Linked DNA regions of Cricetulus griseus. The protein of the gene in region 1 interacts with the protein of each later gene in a pairwise test. Links are inferred from orthologs where the notes say so. Each region holds a gene or a part of one and is shown on either strand. Other genes may lie near its edges.

Region 1 (4,456 bases):
ACACACACACACACACACACACACACACACACACGTAAAACATGAAATGAAAAAAAGAGAGAAGAAACCTATAGTTTTGGAGTCAAAAGGAATTGTGCTCTACTTTATCCAAACTCTCCTAGGGAACTACAAAGAACAGCCCTCAAGGGTCCCACCCTTCCTCCTACTCAACCAAAAAAGAAAGCCTACATAGGTACAAGAAGAAAATCTAGACCATGGTTCTTGTGTATTCTTTAGGGTTTGACTTCATATTTCATTCAAGTTAACAAGCATAATCCAAGTTTTCTTAAAATTCATTGTGCCTTTGTAAAGACTTGTAATCTGAAACTACCACACAGAGATCAGAAGTTCAAAGAGACAATTCAAAGCTTCCCAAAGCTGGGTTTAACAACTACTGCTGGGACAAGGGGTAAGGGGCAGATCCATGCCAACGGAAGCACAATTCCGAGGCAGGCTAGGCCCATACACAGCATTTTCAAACCAGTTTCAATTACCAGATAACTGTCATTTGTACTAACAATTCCTCAGTTCCAGAAATAGAGTTCAAGTGTCTAATTGACCTTGTCTCAGGTGAAGAAGATTCCCTTCCAAAATCATACCAGTGGTGGGGTAGTGGGTAGGGGAGTAGATGACCCTTCCAAATGTATATTCCATAGCTTTGACCAAGATGATAATCCTACTCATAAGGCTAAAAGTTACAGAGGAAAAAAAAAAGCTCTTTACAGAAGCGTAGCATTTTACAATATCAAAATCATGTTCTGAAAAATATACACTCGAGCCAGACAGTGCAATTCCCAGGCCTGCACTCCCAAGCGGAAGCTCCACCCCCATACCCTAACTGGATCCAGTGTTGCTCTCTTCATCCTCTGGAGCAAATGTCTACAGAGCTTCTTATGCAAGTTCACCTCACCCCATCTCTAGGTAGCACGTGGGTAGTGAGGAAAGCCGTTCCTGTTTCATTATGTTCCCCACTTCCCAGATGTCTACTCAGTCGGGGATCCCCCCCTTCTGCTATTTAAGAATACATTCTAATTTAGAACATACAAATTTAACATGTCATATTTTAAGCCAAGCAAGACACACAAGAAATGACAACTATAAAGCCAAACTCAAATTTCTTCGGCTAATAAGCCTGCCTATCTGGGCAAGACTTGGGGCTAGCGGTCATGTTGCTTGTAGAGTAAAAGTACTGAACAAGAAGTGGGGCGTGGCAGGGCACACCTGTCATTTAAGTCACTCATGAGGCAGGAGGACCACAAATTCAAAGCCTGTTTGAGCTACCATGTGAGGTCAGCCTAGGTAGACTCTTCTAAAATAATAACAATAAATAGATGACTATTTTAAGATAATAATAAGTGGGACGGGGAATGCAGCTCAGTGGTAGAGTGCTTCTCTAGCACACCCAAGCCTCTAGGTTTAATTCCAAAAAAATAAAAGCACTTAACCCAGAATGTAAAAATCTGCTGGACCAGTTAACTAGAGGCAATTGTACTAGTCATTAAAGAGCTGTGCTCAGTCAGAAAAGCAGCAGCAGACCTCATCAGGGGAGAAGGAAATGCAGAGGTCCCTGACACAATCCTCAGTATGACTCAGGCAGACGCACTGGACTACAGATCTTCCTCAAAGGCTGCTGGTCAACCCTCAGGCACGAACAGCCCTGCATGAGCCCCAAACTCAAGACAGACTGCTCTTTCCACCACAGACCCCATCTCTGCCTGTTCCCGAAGCCTCCAAACTAAACCCGGGCAGTGAAAACAGCACACGTAGAAATCTACGAAAGTGTAATCATCAAACCCACCCCTAGGACTCTCCATTCTCCAAATAAGTCAAAACACGATGCAGAGCGCAGCTGAGGAGCAGCTTGCTCATATTCACCTTTTAGGTGGTATACATCAAAGCCCACTTTTCCGTATTTGCAAAAATAACTGGCTTAAGCCTTAAGGGGAACAGTATATTTCAAACAAAGCAGCAGTTTGGGATACTTTCTTCCCTTTCATTTCAATTTGTAAGACGTTAAATAAATAAATAAATCCCAGCCTAGACTGCAGACGCAGGAAACTCAAGCAGCCAGTGGACTAAATGCCTGTCATAAGAAAGCCATCTAGTGTTAAAGTTTAGAAGTGAAACCGCAGACAAAAGGAACATTTCTGGGACTATTTTGAAGTTACTGGGAAAACCAATGAGAATAACCAAGATACCCGGTTTTCTGTGAATGACTTGGGTTTGGGGGTGTTTTTCCGCTTTGCTTTTTTCTCTCGCTGTTTATTCTTCTTTCTTAAAGCCATCCTTGTCCAGACCAAGTCAACTCTAAGCAGAATCCAAAGCGCCTAAGACCTGTTTTGACCAAAATCAGGTACCGCCGAGCCCCAATTCGTGAAGACGCACTTGCTGTCGGTTCGCCGGTGCTGGCGTTGGCCGGCTGAATTAAGATACCCGGAGCCGGTTAATGACGACAAACGTCTCCCTGAGGGGTGACGCCAAGTTGTTCTCGGCTCTCGCTCTCGGGAGGATGAGCCGAAATTGATTCTCTGGGTTCTGCGGCCAGGCTGAAATGAATGTGCCGGCGCTGCCGGGTAGCTCCCCGACCGCGGTCTTCACCCGCGAAGACGCAAGCCCGCGCGTACAAAGGAGCGGGAGCCCCGGGGGAGCGGCCCGCAAGTTGGACACAGCCGGGCAGGTCCGGTCCCCACGACCCGCACCAGCGGACGCACCCCGCACCCCCCGACACGCACCTCGGAGCGGCAGTCCTCTGGGCCCCTCTAAGGCCGGCGCGCAGAAGCCGGGGCCTCGCCGCCCGCCACCGTCCGGCGCTACCCATGGGCGCGCTCCCCGCGCGGCCGCTGCGCCCGCGGTTCGAGCTGTCGCCAGGCGCCGCGCTGCGTCCTCGGCCGCCGGCTCCGTCTGCAGCCGGCTCCCCGCCGCCGCCCGCCCCGGCACCGCCCCACGCGCCCCGTCCCCACCTATTGGCCGGTGCTCCGGCAGGCCCCACCCCGAGCTCTGCAGCCCCTTTCATTGGCCAGTACCAGGACAGTCCCCGCCCCTAGAGCTCCGCCCACGCCCATTGGCCAACAGGACAGGCCCCGCCTCGGGCTCTCCGCCCACGCCCATTGGCGCGCCTCCTGGCCAGACTCGTCCCTTGCAGTCGGGCGCGCGCGAGCGTCCTGGGAGAGCGAGTTGCCTGTGGCTGGGAGCGCGAGGCTTCAGCCTGCGGCGAGGAGCAACTGGCCTCCCACCGCTCGCGAGTCGGGGCGCCCTCGGAGCGACCCGTGCTCTCCGGGTGTGGACTCTCAGCCTCGCAGGCTCTTACCTTTCTGGCCTCCTGAGGGTCGCCATAGCCCGGCGAAGCCCGGGGGATTCACTTGACGCAAAAGTCCTAAGCGCAGTCCGCGCCGGTCTGGGGGACCTGTGATGCTCGTGTAGGCTCTCGCCTGCCCGGAACGTCTACACTCCGTGTTCAGGCCTTGTCTGTCCTCCAGGAAGCCTCACCTGCTGCTGGCTACAGTACACCTGTATTGGGCCCTATTCTGAGATGTCCCGGCTCCAGGAGGCGTTAATGAGACAGGTGCTGGTGGCAGGATTTCCCGAGCCGAGCGGGCTTTCACGTTGTGTCACCAGAGTCTCGATCTGGGTTGATTGGGACTTTGAGCTTCTCCCTGGAAGAGGTAATGTTACGATGTTATCTCTCCTTCCCGGTCGCAGTGCTTCCGACTGCACACACACACACACCCTGGTAAAATTTAAACAAAGTGGATCCCCACCCACGTTGTATTTCTCTGCGTACACAATGTCCAGTCCTTTATATATCATTTTATAATTCAGGCGGAATGCATAGGAATTGGCCTGGCAAAACATGTCTGCGACCTGTATATGACACAACACTCCTGAGATCTCCAGGTTTTGAGGTCTTTCTCAAGGTTTGTCTCATACTTAGCGTTTACAAGGTTGTGTATGCACTGAACAAACATGGGGCCTGATAAATGACCTATGCTGCTGTGCTTCCTGGGAAGCTTTTTCTGTTACTTTCCGGACATGTGCAGAAGAAACTCAAGGCAGAGTTTCTGGTAAGGAGGTAAAAGGGCAGTGCATGGCCATGGACTCAGGGTATCTTACAGAAAGAATATAAAATGCCTCTTTTAGCAAAGGTTTGGAGGCCGCTGAAGTTTCAAAGAAAAGTACCAACCCTGAAGCATACAGGTGAGCTTGGCTAAAAGCCAGTATGATCCAGATTCCTCGGCCATTAAGAGCATTCACTGTTGCTGCAGAGGACATGGCTTCCGTGCCCAGCTTCCAATGACCACTCTCAAACATCTTTAACTCCAATTCCGGAAGATCAGAAGCCCTCTTCTGGCCTCTCTGGGCATTGCACTCATGTAGTACACATAGGTGAATGCAAGCAATCACTCACACACGCACGTAAAAGCAAGCTAGTTTGAGCTATCATAGGTTCATCATCTCC
Region 2 (3,671 bases), on another chromosome or scaffold:
AAACTTTTAATGTCTTACTCTTTAAAAAGTGCCTTTTCTTTGTATTACAGGCAGATAAGTTGTTGTCACAGGATTTTGTGCAGATAATGGAGGATATTATTCTCACACTACCTAAAAATAGGCAGATTTTACTATATTCCGCTACTTTCCCTCTTAGTGTACAAAAGTTTATGGTAAGTATTAAACCTACTTGGAGTCAATGTCATAATAGTACCTATGAGTGTATGCCTTTATATGTAATTACATCTTCTTAGATTATATGCTTTATGCTATTTCAGGATTTTCTTTTCATGTGATCAGTAAAGATTTGTGTATAGATTTATTATAATTTGGGTTTTGTTTTGTTTTGTTGTGTTCCGTCCCCCCCCCCAGACAGGGTTTCTCTGTGGCTTTGGAGGATGTCCTAGAACTAGCTCTTGAAGATCAGGCTGGTCACAAACTCACAGAGATCCACCTGCCTCTGCCTCCCGAGTGCTGGGACTAAAGGCGTGTGCCACCAACGCCCGGCTGTTTGTTTTGTTTTTGAGACAGGGTCTTACTATGTAGCCCTGGCCAATAGGCCACCTTCCAACAACTCAGACCTGACTCCCCCCTCCAAAGTGCTGGGATTAAAAGTATGTGCCATCACATCTGGCTTGTCCTTTTTTTATTATTATTTTATAAAATTTTTAAAATTTTATATTTTGAACCATAAGTTTAAAACCAGCCTCTTTTCCATAATGAGTTCCCAGCCATCCAGTGCTCCATAATGAGACATATTCTCTCTCTCTTTTATGTTGCTTGTTTTTGGTTTTTCGAGACAGGGTTTCTCTGTGTAGCCTTGGCTGTCCTAGAACTCATTCTGTAGACCAGGCTGGCCTTGAACTTAGAGATCTGCCTGCCTCTGCCTCCTGAGTGCTGAGATTAAAGGCATTTATTACCATGGCCCAGCTGTGAGACTCTGTGGGGGGGGCATGGGGTGGCAGGTAATTTTATTTATTTAACTCTTTGTGGCAAGATGACATATCCCATAGATGCTAGTAATTAGTTACAGTGTTATCCTATACCTAAAACATGACCTGGAAACTACCAGTGTCGTTCTGGTTATCTTCCTGTCTCAGCCTTCGGAGTGGTAGGATACAGGCATGTATAGCCATGCCCATCTCTAACATAGTTACATTTTGAATCTGAGGTGTACCATTCTATGTTATTTATTTTATGAATACTTGTTTTGAAAAGAGATGCATCCATTGGAGCAAGAGACAAAAAAAGGGATAAATTTGGGTCAAGAAATTGAATTCAGATACCAGGCAGTGGTCACGACTTTAATCCCAGTACTTGGGAGGCAGGGCAAGAGAATCTTGCATTCCAGGCCAACCTGGTTTACAGAGTGAGTTTTAGGACAGGACCACACAGAGAAACCCAGTCTTGGGGAAAAGAAATTGAGTTCAGGGGTAGAGCTCTTTGCTTAGTATGCCTGAAGCCCTCGGTTTAATTCCCCAGTACTGCACACACACACACCCAAAAAAAGGCGAAAATGTATGCATTGCAATTTAGGAGAGGAAACCCAGGCTTAAGACTCCCTTTCCCCTCCTCTCCCCACCCCAGAATTCCCATCTGCAAAAACCCTATGAGATTAACCTGATGGAGGAACTAACTCTGAAGGGAGTGACCCAGTACTACGCATATGTAACGGAACGCCAAAAAGTACACTGCCTCAACACACTTTTCTCCAGGGTAAGTAGTGGGCTTTTCCTGCTGAGTCCCAGGGAATCTGGACAGTTACAGCATTTCCCTCTATCTTCGCTGTAAAAAAGTCTTAGTGTTTTATAAAAGACAGCTTTGGTTGGTTTAAAGTTGAAGCTGATTGACACGGGCTCTTTTATTATTAAGTAACTACCTTAATTACAGTTCATCCTGGTGATGTAGATTCTATCTTTGTGAATGCACCGAGATGCTGAAGTTCATTTGTGACCTCAAATCAGTACTGAAGGTGTTGTGGTCATTTTGTAGACATGTGCAGTATGGGGGAAGAAAAAAAAATTTGGTCCCTGATGAGGTCGAAGAAAAGGACAATCTGATGTCTTCTTTTAACTCTCATGCTGTATATAAGCATTAATTTTTCAGTCGTTGAGCTGTTTGTGATTTCATTCCAAAATGGTCCCCACACCATTGTTGAAATGCTGTCCTGTACTCTTAATCTTAAGCACAAGAAGACTGTGCAGGGAAAATATGGATTGGATAAGCTTTTTGCAGTCGTGGGTTAAATTGGTTTGAGACTATAGATGTATTTAGTAAGACATGCTTAAAAGAAATGAAAACACGTTAAACTGCATGCTATTTACAAAATGTGACCAGAGGTTCACAAGTGCCTAACTTTGTATTTTTCCTAGAAACAATGGTTCTTTTTATTTATTTGTTTTACTTATTTCAATTATGTATATGTATGAGTCTGTGTGGGTTATATACACATGAGTGCAGCTGCTAGAAGAGTCCAGAAAAGGGTTTCAGAGCCCTTGAAAGAGAGTTGTAAGCAGTTGTGAACCCAAAATGTGTGTGCTGAGAACTAAACTTGGGTCCTCTGCAAAAGCTGTGCCATCTCTCCAGCTCCAAAGCATTGGTTCCTATTTGCTGGTTAGCAGTGTGTTAGCAGTGGCTTTGGAGAGCATGAGTTCTGTGAACACTGCTTCTGTCATTTTGTCTCAAGCAGTTAGGTGGCCCTTATGAAACACTCTACGCAAGAAAACCAGTTCTCAACAGCAACTCTTCGCTACATTTTTTATGTTTTTGTTTTTGTTTTTGTTTTAACAACTTCCTCTCTTTCTTGGGAAACTCTAAATTTTAGACTTTTTAAAGTTTTGGCTAAATAATATTTTCAATATTGGCAAAACAAATGTTTTTGTCTTTCTCATATGTTTCTTTTGTGCTCAGCTTCAGATAAACCAGTCGATCATTTTCTGCAACTCTTCTCAAAGAGTTGAATTACTGGCCAAGAAGATTTCTCAGCTGGGTTACTCTTGCTTCTATATCCATGCTAAAATGAGGCAGGTGAGTGTAACTCTAGAACTTACATAGATTTAACAAAAAAAAAAAAAAAAAAAAAAACACTTTGTTTTCTTCTTGTTTAATATTCCGTAAATGCCTATGTATGAGAATATACTGTTATTTTTTTTTAAAGATTTATTTATTAGATGGTTGTGAGCCACCATGTGGGTGCTGGGAATTGAACTCAGGACCTCTGGAAGAGCAGCCAGTGCTCTTAACCTGTCAACCATCTCTCTAGCCCCAAATAATACTGTTTTTGACTTAGGGTATAGTAGTAGTGCAAGGTCCTGAGTTCCAATCCCTGGTACCAGGAAAAGAACCAACAACTGAACTTTACAGGGTTTCTCTGTGTTACAGCTCTGGCTGTCCTGGAAGTAACTCTATAGACCGGGCTGGCCTCAAACTCACAGAGATCTACCTGTCTCTACCTCCCAAGTGCTAGGATTAAGGTGTGGGCAACCAATTACCACCCCAACCCTTCCCCCACCCCCCCACCCCGCTTCCTGGCTGAACTTTTCTTTAGTAGCCAAACACCCCTTCATTTAAACCACCAGGCTTAAAGATCTCCTTGTCCATGCTTGAAATCCCAGCACTTAGATGCTATAGAGAGGACATGCATGAAGAATTCAAGGTCATTCTCTGCTACT
Region 3 (3,671 bases), on another chromosome or scaffold:
TAGAGAGGTTCAAAGCTTTGTAATTTTGATACCCAGGATATGTTTTCATTACTCCAGGTACAGTGAGAGCTCTAGAGAAGACCCAAATTCCATTAAGGTTATCAACTTTTTATTTCTTTCTCTAGGATCTACAGTGTTTGCAGAAATTCAGGGGGTCATTGATGCTTGCATTAAGCTCTCTGGAATGCCTGATCTCTCTCTCTCTTTCATGGTAAGTTTTGATCTGTTCTACAGTCCCTTTCATGCCTAATACATTTGAAGTGCTAAATGATGTGATAATTACCAACATAAGATTGTATCTGAAATTTTTTTATTTGTGTGTGTGTTTGAGTTGGCTTGTATTTACCAGGGCACACGTGTGGAGATGAGAGGGCAACATCCAGGAATTGATTCTCTCCTTCCACCGTGTGGTTCCTGGGGATCAAACTCGGGTCCTCAAGCTTGGCAGCAAGCACCTCTACATGTTAAGCTATCTCCCCAGCCCTGGAGTTTGTTTATTAGGTTACAAAGGGCTATCTCAGAAATATTCCTAGCACAGCTTTCCAGAGAGGAGCTGACACACTGAACATGGCCTTTATGGAAAAGTGGAAGGGAAGTCTTTACCGAGTGTGCTATAAGTGGCTCAGAATTCACTGTCTAGCTTTTGTATCTCCACTGTCATTTTTACCAGATATTTGCTCTGCTTGTGTAAAGAGACATTGATGCTTTGCATCATTTAGATTCAGCATGACACACTGCTAAAAACAGCTAAGAGAAGTGTGTTCTGGTTCTGTCTTTGTTACCAGTTTCTCTTGACTTTCTTCAACCTCAGATTTCATCATCTATGGAATATAGATAATGCTGCTTGTTTTTTCTCCCCACAGTTTATAAACTTCAAGTAAAGTAATGTATATAAAATGTTTGCAAACTTTAAAAGTTCATGAAACTAAAAGGTTATTTTGATGTGTTCCTAATAAATTTTTACACTGCCTTTATGACTTAGGGAGCCTATTAATTTATCATAATATGTAAATACTGTTGTCATACTCCTTATACACTGTGCATATGGCTTTTTCTTTTCCTGACAGAACCCAAGGCTTCTAGATGATGTCAGCTTCCACCCGTGCATCCGGTTCAAACGTTGGGAATCAGAAAGAGTTTTGTCATTTATTCCTCCAGATGGGAATTTCCGACTCATATCATACCGTGTCAGCTCACAGAAGTAAATTGATGCACCAGCCAGAATTTGCCATCACAGACAAACAATTTGAATAGAACTCCCCTGCTCTTGTTTCATTTTTACAGTTTAGTTCTTGAGTTCATCTTGGCTTGCTTACTCAGCCATGGCTCACCTGGAGACCTAGTGAGAACTGGTGATATGTACCTAAAACAATCAAGTGTTTCTGAACCTGAAAGTGGAGTATGGAGGAGAGTAGGTTAAAATCTGTACCTAAAAGCAAGCCTTTAAAATATGCATAACCTGTGCAAACCATGCACTTGGTGCCTTAATCCTACTGTGTTCTCTAACCTGACAAGACAGCCACGCCCTAAGATGTTTCCTCAGATATCTGCTTCAAGTGTTCTCTACATTGAGTTTGAGGGGTAGGAGGTGGTTCTTATTTTTAAGATAGAGCCTTATTTGTAATCCAGACTGGCCTCAAACTCTGAATCCTCCTGCCTTAGCCTCCTGAGGGCTGGGATTATTGATAGTAAAACCACACTCAACTTGAACAGTTTAACATTGTCACCTGTAACTAACTTGTCCCTTTAAATACCAGAAAGCATTTGGGTAGCAAACTGAAACTTTTTTTCAAGAATTATTTCTTAGCACTTCAAATTCTTTTAAGGGCCTCTCCTCCCTTCCTCCCTCTCCTTTTCCCTCCCTCCTATAGCCCTCTACCCCAGTGTTTATACTATATTTAAACCAGATTTCTGTTTTGGCTTATGTGTTTGTTATCAACCCAAACTGTCCTAGCACATTGGTACAGAACACCCTGCTGTCCTCAACAACCCCAGTGCAGAGGCTGCATCTCCTAGGGTATATGGCCCTGTGGCACAGTTACAGACAGCATGGAGCACATGCTACACCTGGAGTTGTCCATACCTTTCACTATGTACATATGTACTTTCGTGTCTTTCTCTCTGTGTCTTTTTGTAGTCTTGTGGCAATACCAGTGTATGTGAAACACAGTATCAGCTTTAAGGAAAACAGCTCTTGTGGCAGATTTGATATAACAATTGGACCTAAACAGAATATGGGAAAAACTATTGAAGGAATCACAGTGACTGTTCACATGCCAAAAGTTGTACTGAATATGAACCTGACACCAACACAAGGCAGCTATACATTTGATCCAGTAACCAAGGTACAGCCGCTTCAACAATGAAGAGTGAGCAGTGTTGTGTGATCTCTTTTGTGGGTGGGGGTGGAGGACACAGTAGTTGGGAAAAGTGTCCTTGCATTACTTACACATGCCTCTATAAGGGTTTTCAGAGACTATAAAAGATGATTTTTCTCTCAGCTGCTCTGCTTCCTTAGTTAGCAAATGTGCAGAATAATTGAGTGCTTGATAAATGAGATATGTTTTGTTTGATTGGGGGGGGGTCTTACCGTGTAGCCCACTCAGAACCCCCTGCCTCCGAGTTCTAAATTAAAAGTATGTATCACCACACCTACCTGAGGTGTAATTTTGACTAACTTCATAGAGCATTTTTTTTTTTGGGGGGGGGGTTGGGTTTTGTTGTTTTTGTTTTATCTTGTTTTTTGAGACAGGGTTTCTCACGGTAGTCCTGGCTGTCCTGGAATTCAATATGTAGACCAGGCTGGCCTGGAACTCAACAGAGGCCTCTGCCTCCTGAGTGCTGAAATTAAAGGTGTGAGCCACCACACATAGAACATTAAAAGATCTTCCAACCTTGGAGCTGGGGAGATGGCTCAGTGGCTAAGAACACTCAAATATGATTCCCAACAACCATATTGGAGGCACAGAACTGCCTGTAGCCTCAGCTGCAGGGGATCTAACACCCTCTTCTGGCCTCCATGGGCTCTGTATTCTCGTGCACAACCCCACATAGATACATGTGCGCATATAAAGAACTTCTACATCTTAAGAATTCCAGAACCTTCCAGAGACCATGTAAGTCTAAGCAGGAGAGTTCCACATCCTTGTCTTCCACTCCAGCTACAGCCAAACTTTCATCTATTACTGTTTCCACACAGGTGATTTCGCTGGAACAAAGGGTCTGTAGCTGAAAGTTTAATGATAGTAATGTAAATCGGTTGTCTATTCCAGGGTTGTTCTGTTTTTCAAGACACTGCTTCATTTTATGTAGGAGCTTCTAGTGTCTGTTAACCTCTGTAACACATGGTTCAGATTTTTTTCTCTTGTCTTTTTAAGGTACTAGCATGGGATGTGGGGAAAATTACTCCACAAAAGCTCCCAAGTCTTAAAGGACTGGTAAATTTACAGTCAGGAGCACCCAAGCCAGAAGAAAATCCAAGCCTCAACATACAGTTCAAGATCCAGCAGCTTGCTATTTCAGGTAAAGATAGGTATGCTGTGTGTCAACAGGAAATTAGAATTAGGAGTTTGGAAGAGTTCTGACAGTTCTGCCCTTGAAAGAGCAGCTGCTCCAGTTTGCCTGCTGTGGTGCTGACCTCAAGGCACCAAGCGTTTGGGAGAACAGCTCCT

The links. The genes of interacting proteins can lie anywhere in the genome.
Region 2: the proteins of Sipa1l2 (region 1) and Ddx6 interact in binary tests that used the Homo sapiens proteins (3 or more experiments, as listed by UniProt). The two-hybrid records come from large-scale screens. The link is inferred for Cricetulus griseus from reciprocal best matches to the Homo sapiens genes SIPA1L2 and DDX6.
Region 3: the proteins of Sipa1l2 (region 1) and Ap3m1 interact in binary tests that used the Homo sapiens proteins (3 or more experiments, as listed by UniProt). The two-hybrid records come from large-scale screens. The link is inferred for Cricetulus griseus from reciprocal best matches to the Homo sapiens genes SIPA1L2 and AP3M1.

What each region holds. Positions count from the first base shown.
Region 1 is NC_048596.1:202,346,580-202,351,035, forward strand, and holds the start of Sipa1l2 (signal-induced proliferation-associated 1-like protein 2), read right to left. Parts: upstream 2,909-4,456; 5' UTR 2,733-2,908; intron 2,629-2,732; exon of another isoform or gene 2,199-2,628; intron 1-2,198.
Region 2 is NC_048597.1:156,312,169-156,315,839, forward strand, and holds part of Ddx6 (probable ATP-dependent RNA helicase DDX6), read left to right. Parts: intron 1-50; coding exon 51-173; intron 174-1,587; coding exon 1,588-1,716; intron 1,717-2,910; coding exon 2,911-3,027; intron 3,028-3,671.
Region 3 is NW_023276807.1:199,945,357-199,949,027, forward strand, and holds part of Ap3m1 (AP-3 complex subunit mu-1), read left to right. Parts: intron 1-125; coding exon 126-211; intron 212-1,067; coding exon 1,068-1,201; intron 1,202-2,137; coding exon 2,138-2,345; intron 2,346-3,377; coding exon 3,378-3,522; intron 3,523-3,671. UniProt on the Homo sapiens protein: Part of the AP-3 complex, an adaptor-related complex which is not clathrin-associated. The complex is associated with the Golgi region as well as more peripheral structures.